Arabidopsis thaliana: one gene and its partner. The protein of the gene in region 1 purifies or fractionates together with the protein of each later gene. This does not show direct contact. Each region holds a gene or a part of one and is shown on either strand. Other genes may lie near its edges.

Evidence for each region. The genes of interacting proteins can lie anywhere in the genome.
Region 2: the proteins of SDH2-2 (region 1) and HSP60-3A purify together in Arabidopsis thaliana (affinity purification with mass spectrometry, with the first as the bait; one large-scale study listed by BioGRID). This does not show direct contact.

The regions. Positions count from the first base shown.
Region 1 is NC_003076.8:16,279,302-16,283,053, reverse strand, and holds the start of SDH2-2 (succinate dehydrogenase 2-2), read right to left. Parts: upstream 1,661-3,752; 5' UTR 1,593-1,660; coding exon 922-1,592; coding exon of another isoform or gene 918-921; exon of another isoform or gene 65-917; intron 1-64. Other genes in the region: AT5G40645 (RPM1-interacting protein 4 (RIN4) family protein), read left to right, coding at 2,171-2,179, 2,303-2,491, 2,621-2,644; AT5G40640 (uncharacterized protein), read right to left, coding at 2,796-3,048, 3,134-3,383, 3,487-3,682. UniProt on the Arabidopsis thaliana protein: Iron-sulfur protein (IP) subunit of succinate dehydrogenase (SDH) that is involved in complex II of the mitochondrial electron transport chain and is responsible for transferring electrons from succinate to ubiquinone (coenzyme Q).
Region 2 is NC_003074.8:4,563,669-4,567,420, reverse strand, and holds the start of HSP60-3A (heat shock protein 60-3A), read left to right. Parts: upstream 1-2,085; 5' UTR 2,086-2,287; coding exon 2,288-2,325; intron 2,326-2,445; coding exon 2,446-2,467; intron 2,468-2,786; coding exon 2,787-2,918; intron 2,919-3,021; coding exon 3,022-3,181; intron 3,182-3,293; coding exon 3,294-3,469; intron 3,470-3,560; coding exon 3,561-3,656; intron 3,657-3,737; coding exon 3,738-3,752. Other genes in the region: RHD3 (Root hair defective 3 GTP-binding protein (RHD3)), read left to right, coding at 1-160, 251-347, 447-608, 718-822, 1,040-1,134, 1,237-1,333, 1,444-1,659.

The DNA.
Region 1 (3,752 bases):
ATACAATCATATAGTTGCAATTTATTCAAGAAACATTTGAAGAAGCACAAAGAGTCCTCAGCACCTTCCTTTAGAGGTCTCTCCTCCATTTCAATTGCACAAAATCGGCTAAACTACACAACAGCTAAAGGAACAGAAACAACCTATATAGTATATATCTTTACATGATGACACAGATATAATCAGATAGTTGAACTTGCGGTTTTCTATTTAGAGATCTGAAGAAGCACAAAAAGTCCTTAGCAGCTTACTCTAGAGGCCTTTCCTCCATTTCAGTATAAAGCTAAACTACACTACAGTAAAGGAGTAAGAGAACCTAAACGCCCATACATAATGACAAAGTTACAATCAGACCGTTGAATCTGAGATTTTCTACAGAGACAGATGAAGAAGCACAAAGAGTACTTCGCACCTTTCTTCAGAGATACCTCCTCCATTTCAGTTGAACAAAGTAGGCTAAACTACACTACAACTAAAGGAGCAAGACAACCTAAATGACCATACATAATGACATGGATACAATCAGACCATTGAACTTGGGGTTTTCTACAGACAGGTGAAGAAGCACAAAGATCCCTTAGCACCTTTCCTCAGTGAACAAAGAGCTAAACCCACAGTACCACACTAACACTAAAGGAGTAAAAACAACCCTATTGACAATGCATAATGAATGTAAAACAAGTAAAACAACCCAAGCCATACATAATCCGTCTACCAACTCTTACTGCTCAAACCAACAAAATTCTCAAGCAAATCTCAAAACAGAACCTTCCTTCAGCTCTAAACTACAACTACAGAAACTTAAGCAATCTAAGTGACCCCATATAACGTACTAATGTAAACTACCAACAAGCCCTACAATATCTTCAAAAAACTACTTTGATTAGTGAATCCATTATGAGAAAACAAGATTAAGTTTACCTGTTGGCATGAAGCAAAGCAGCTGGACCAAGATAAGACTCAGGGTTCCACCAATAGCTAGGGCAAGACGTGCTACAACAAGCACAGAGAATACATTCATACATTCCATCAAGCTTAGCTCTATCTTTCTTACTCTGTAAAATCTCTTTCCCAGGAACAGATGCTGGATTCTTCCTCTTCAACCACGGCTCAATACTCTTATACTGATTATAAAAATTCGTCATATCCACAACCAAATCCTTAATCACAAACATATGCGGCAACGGCGTAATCGTCGTCTCTTTAGATCCAGATTCAATCTTCGTTAAACAAGCAAGACCATTACATCCATCAATGTTCATAGCACACGAACCACAAATACCTTCACGGCAAGAGCGACGGAAAGTGAGCGATGGATCCATCTCGTTCTTAATCTTAATCAAAGCATCTAGAACCATTGGACCACAATCCTTGAGATCGATTTTGTAATCTTGAAGCTCTGGCTTTCCAGGATTATCTGGATTCCATCGATAGATCTGAAACGTCTTCAGACTCGCTCCTCCGCCGCCGGTTGAAGCTTTCGATTGTGCTTCTGATCCTGTTGATGTCCATCGCGCCGGAATCAATCGCGCCGCCGTGGATAATCGTGATGATTTGGTTCCAACAACTCTTCCGATCAAACCAAACGCCATTTTCTCGGAGAAGAGAGCAAATGAAATGAAATTGTTTTTTTAATAGTCTATTAAAAATGATTAATTTGTTAATAACCTGTAATTATTAATTAATTATTATGTAAAAATGTATGTATACGTATTTGTAGATGTGAGGCTTAGCTTCGTCTACGTAATAACGACCGTTGATTAAAAAACTTGGAAAATCGTGACCGTTTATAAATACCGGCTTATAGGTTAATCACAGAGATTAATGGATAAGTTCTGAAATGCGCGTGTTCGCCTCGAGAAGTGTGTAGATCACGTGGCGAGTTTTGATACGATGAAGTTCACTCGAAAACAAAAGACGGTACGAGAAAAAGCGTTCCGTTTCGCTACAAAAGATTGGTGTTTTCTGTTTTCAAGTTTCAACAATAATTAAAACGTTAACCTATATTTAAACTTTCAGAAAACGCTAATCTGTTCTCAAATTCTAATTCTTTAAACGTAATCAAATTCTTTTAAGAAAACAAAAACTAAAAGAGAAGACAAACAAGTTTTCTTGTTGTTTGAAGAAAGATCATCTCATGTTCTGTTTGCATCTTTTACACAATCTTTGAATGGCATCGGTAAGATCTTTCTCATTTCTTTCTCATTTGTTTCACAAATTTGATACAAAAAATAGCATTTTCATGTGTGTTTTCGTTGGATTATAATAGAAATCAAACATTTTTGTGATTGGAAACTTTCAGAATAATCAACAACGACAACAACAAGATCGACCATTACCAAAATTTGGAGAATGGGACGTGAACGATCCAGCATCAGCCGAAGGATTTACGGTTATATTCGCTAAAGCTCGAGACGACAAAAAGACAAACGCAAGTGGTCGTGCCGCCTCACAACGCCGTGACAATAACAAATCTCAAGATGAACCTACGGTAACATTTCTAATCCCAATTGCTCAAGATTTTATGACTAACGAAAACATCAGCCTATGTTTGTTATGTTTTAGATCAAATGAGGTCTAAAGTGAAAGAAAAACTAAAAGCTTGCTATTTCTATTGCAGAAGAAACGGTTCTGCTGTTTCTGAGAAACAACACATCATCAAGCAAAAGCTGAATGTAAAACATTTGTTAGATAAATGAAACAGTTTCATATTCACTTGGAATCTGTATAAATTTATCATTACAGAGCTAAAAGCAGACGAAGTTTCGGTCTAATTCTGGTCGCATAACATTTACTTACACAATATCAATGTCTCTTAACCCTCTGTTTGGTGAATCTTGATCTGACCCATTGCTACTTGTCTTTTTCTTGAACGATTTTTGGCTGAAAATCCGAGACACCGTTTTCCCGGGACGTGGAACTGATCTCGAACCGCCTTCAAAACGGTTATGTTTATTGTCTAGATCATTTGATAGTTTCTTGACTAGTTCCACAAAATGTCTTCTGAATGTTGGATATCTTGATACTGATTTGGTTAATCCTTGAAGCCTAACCAAAACCAAAAACACATCTTAGAATCCGAAGTAGAAAGCCGTAACAAGATTGTGTGTGTTTTTTTTTTTGCCTTTTTTACCTGCGAGCAAAGGCATCAAGTTCGGCTTTTCTGAGTTCAGTTAGAGGAGGAGATTCAGATTCAACAATGGAGCTTTTAAGTCTCTCTGAATCTCCAAAGAGTAATACCAATTTACCAAGATACTCTTCTTCTTCCTCGGATAGGTTTGCAGCTTCGATCTGGTCTTTAAGGATCAAAAACGGATTCAGAAACCAATCAAAAAACGCATCTTTTGGGCGGTTTCTGGTAGTTATCTCCGTTACACCGTCACCTAAACAAAAACACAGAAACGGTTTTGTTTGTTTCTTGATGATGTTCAAATAGTTACTAGATAATGCGGTTATGAAAATTGACAGAAAACTGTTGAAACATACCGAGTAATAAACCGGTGGAGTTAGATTTGATAGAGCGTAAAAGCTCGTGAAGAAGAGAATAAGCAGGTAAGCCAAAGCTGATCACTTGACTGCCTTTGCTAGATTTAGCTTCTTCAATGTCTTTTGAATTTATAATCCCTTTCGTTACCATAATCTCTCCGTGCCGCCTACATTCCACAAATAGAGCCTCCAAAAGCTGCAAAGATCAAAAGAATAGGCTTCAGGTTTAAATACAAAGATAACCAAAAGAAGAGTGTGACTAGTGA
Region 2 (3,752 bases), on another chromosome or scaffold:
AATTGGCTGTCTATGGTCTCTCCAACGCATTATCTGGTTTCGAAATGGACGAAGAAACACGGAGTAAAATGCTTGCTGATCTCGAGAACTATGCACGAGGTATTGTTGAAACCAAGGCAAAGGAAGAGGCTGGAAGAGCGATGATGCGCATGAAGGATAGGTGTCACCATTTTACTTGTCTTTCATCATTTCCTTGTCCGATAACTTCCATCTCTTACAGAGCTTTCTGATTAAACAAACTTCTATCCAGATTTGCTACAATCTTCAGCCATGATTCTGATTCAATGCCACGTGTTTGGACTGGAAAGGAGGACATCAGAGCAATTACAAAAATGGCTCGTTCTGCGGTATGAGACCTACCTGATATAGCAATATCTCAGCACCTATTCTTTGAATCAATCGCAAATTTCTCGAGATTTTGATATGACCCTTGTTCTCTTTTTCAGTCCTTGAAGCTGCTGTCTGTTATGGCTGTTATACGCTTGGATGATGAACTCGACAATATTGAGAAGACATTGACGCTAGCTCTGTTTAATTCTACGGGCAACAATGCTACTAGCAAGAGCATCAGCACAATTGATTCACTTGCCTCAAGCACTTGGGAGAAGGTGACTAAAACCTTACTCACTGTATATAATGAAAACACAAAAGGTCTCATATTTAGTACTCACACCTTTGAGATATAAAAGATCCTTACTGTTACCTTGTTATTATCAGGTTGCACCAGAAAAGACGTTGATCACACCTGTGCAGTGTAAATCACTGTGGAGGCAATTTAAGAACGAGACAGAATATACCGTTACACAGGCCATTTCTGCACAGGTAATCTTTGCAATCCACACTTTCAAGCATATCTTCCGTTTGCTCATTCACATGAGCTGATGTTAAAATTTGGCAATGCTACAAAACGTTTTTGAATATCTTTTTTTGGTCATGTCGTTTCTAGCTTCTTGTCTCCTTTCTCATCTGTTCTTTAATCAGCTAACACCCGGAAAAATAATTGAGGTTTCAATCTGAATAAAGTCTCCTTGGATTTCAGGAAGCTAACCGACGGAATAACAACTGGCTGCCACCTCCATGGGCAATCCTTGCCCTGGTTGTTCTTGGATTTAATGAATTTATGACTCTCTTAAGGTACCCTCCTTGTCCATTCTTTTGAATTGACTCGGCGGCTTTTTCATACAATCAAGATTCCGTACTCACTTTGGCTCTTCGTGCCTGCATCTCTCATGGCAGAAATCCTCTATGGCTCTTAGTTCTATTTGTCGGATACCTTGTATCCAAAGCCTTGTGGGTGCAATTAAATATTTCAGGAGAATTCCAAAACGGCGTGGTATGAGCACGATATCCAACATCCATATTTTTACTTTTGCCCCTGTTCTTCATTTGATCTCAATTATAATCTCACCGAAATGCCAATGTTTCATCTATGATCAACAACAGCTACCTGGACTTCTCTCTTTGTCAACCAAATTCATTCCAACGGTCATGAACCTCCTCAAAAAGCTTGCGGAAGAAGGACAAGCACCACCCACAAATAGCAACCAATCAATGAACTCTACAGCTCAATCCGAGGTTACAACCAATGGAGAAAGCAGCAGCAGCAGTAGCTCTGGTTCATCTCCAGCAAAAAACGTACCCATTGATACAAGTGCATAGAACAAAGAAGTATACAAGCTTAAGCTGTTGTGCTAGCCCACGAAGCTAGAAACTTAAAATTCGTTACCCTTTCAAAAAGGTAGCTCTCAGTTTTGGTGTTGATCAGAGAGATTCACCGAGAGCCATATGTTTTATGTCTCCGATGGCATTGGTTCCCTCTTGCAGGTGTCAAAGTGATCTTGTATGTTCCTAGACTAAGATTCTGATGCAGACAAAAACAAAAAAACTCATGATTTGTTTGCGAGTTCTGTAGTGATGTGGTTATTGTATCTGATAAAAAGAATGTTACTTGAAGAAAAACCGGTTTTTGATTAAGTGAAATTCAGTTTGGTTTTTGTTGATTGAAGAGAATTTCAGGTTCTCATTGCAAGTTTATAGTGTAATCATGTTAGCATAGAGTTTTTGGGCCATTGGAAAATTCATAATGGGCCTAAGATAACGGATGAAACTGTAAACCTAATTATGGGAGATGCAGAAACAGAGCACAAAGAAAGTTCCAGACTATTAGCTTTTCTAAAAGAAAAAAGTTTCACTCTTTGGAGGTTGGAACTTAATTCCTTGATTAAGAAACCCCAGAAAAACCCTAAACCCTTGAAGCGTCTCCTTCTCTAGTTCTTTGCAAGCGGAAATGTATCGAGTGCTATCAAAGTTATCTTCTTCAATTGGGTACGTTTCGTTCTTTCATTCAACGAACTTATTCAAAACTTGTATTTTTCTCGATCAATATTTTTTGATGAGCAGAGCTTAATTTTCTTCTTCCTCTTTCTGGGTTTGATTGTCTTGCAGCTCGTCTACTTCCAGGAAACTGGTGAGTTTCGTGAACTCTCTCTGTCTTTTTGCGAGTTTGATTGCATTTCGTTTATGGGCATTCTTGTTGGTAACAGAGAAATTGCTAGAAATGTGTCAAATTACTAGTCCTGATAGTTTATGCAATGAAAAAAATAGGGTTTACATCAAAATCTCCACCTTAAGCTACTTAATTTGCAAAATTGCTCTGCTTTTATTGGTTTCAGATGCAATAGAAGATCTTCTAGTTCCGGAATGATTAGCTTGAATTGGCCGTACCCTGTATCAAACTAATTAATTCCGATTTTGATTTTCTTTTGGTGTTCTCTCTTACCATGAAGGTTTCTGGGCGGATTATAAGTAGCAGAAACTATGCGGCCAAGGATATCAGTTTCGGGATCGGAGCTCGGGCAGCTATGTTGCAGGGTGTATCCGAGGTTGCAGAAGCTGTGAAAGTCACTATGGGACCAAAGGTATATATATTTCGTTCTCACAAGGTTTAGATCAATGTAGAGTGGATTGTTTTTGAAACAGTCTTCAAATTCAATATCTTTTTTTTTTAATTCTGTGGTGTAGGGAAGAAATGTGATAATTGAGAGCAGTTATGGCGGACCAAAGATCACAAAGGATGGTGTCACCGTGGCAAAAAGCATATCATTTCAAGCTAAAGCTAAGAACATTGGTGCCGAACTCGTCAAACAGGTTGCAAGTGCCACTAACAAGGTTGCTGGAGATGGTAATATTTTCTCTTTTGAGTTCATAATCATGGATAAGTTTTTATTGAAAACATACGGTGAAGAGATAATAGTAAAGTCTTAATTTCTGCTTGCCTTCCTTTCGTTATATAGGTACCACTTGTGCCACTGTTTTGACTCAGGCGATACTCATCGAAGGCTGCAAGTCGGTGGCTGCAGGTGTAAATGTGATGGATTTGCGTGTTGGAATTAATATGGCAATTGCTGCAGTTGTCTCTGATTTGAAAAGCAGAGCTGTTATGATTAGCACCCCAGAAGAGATCACACAGGTGAATTTAGAAACATATTCATAAGTCAGGAATTGTGAATGCTATACCAAAGGTTGATCTATTACTGCTACTGCATATGTTCCTTTGATAGGTTGCCACTATATCTGCAAATGGGGAGCGTGAAATAGGGGAACTAATTGCAAGAGCCATGGAGAAAGTTGGAAAGGAAGGGGTTATCACTGTTGCTGTAAGCTTACTTTTCTTTTCATGCCTTATAATAGATCACTTGATGGTTGTCTGATCGCTGTGTTATTCTTCAAATACCCAGGATGGTAACACTTTA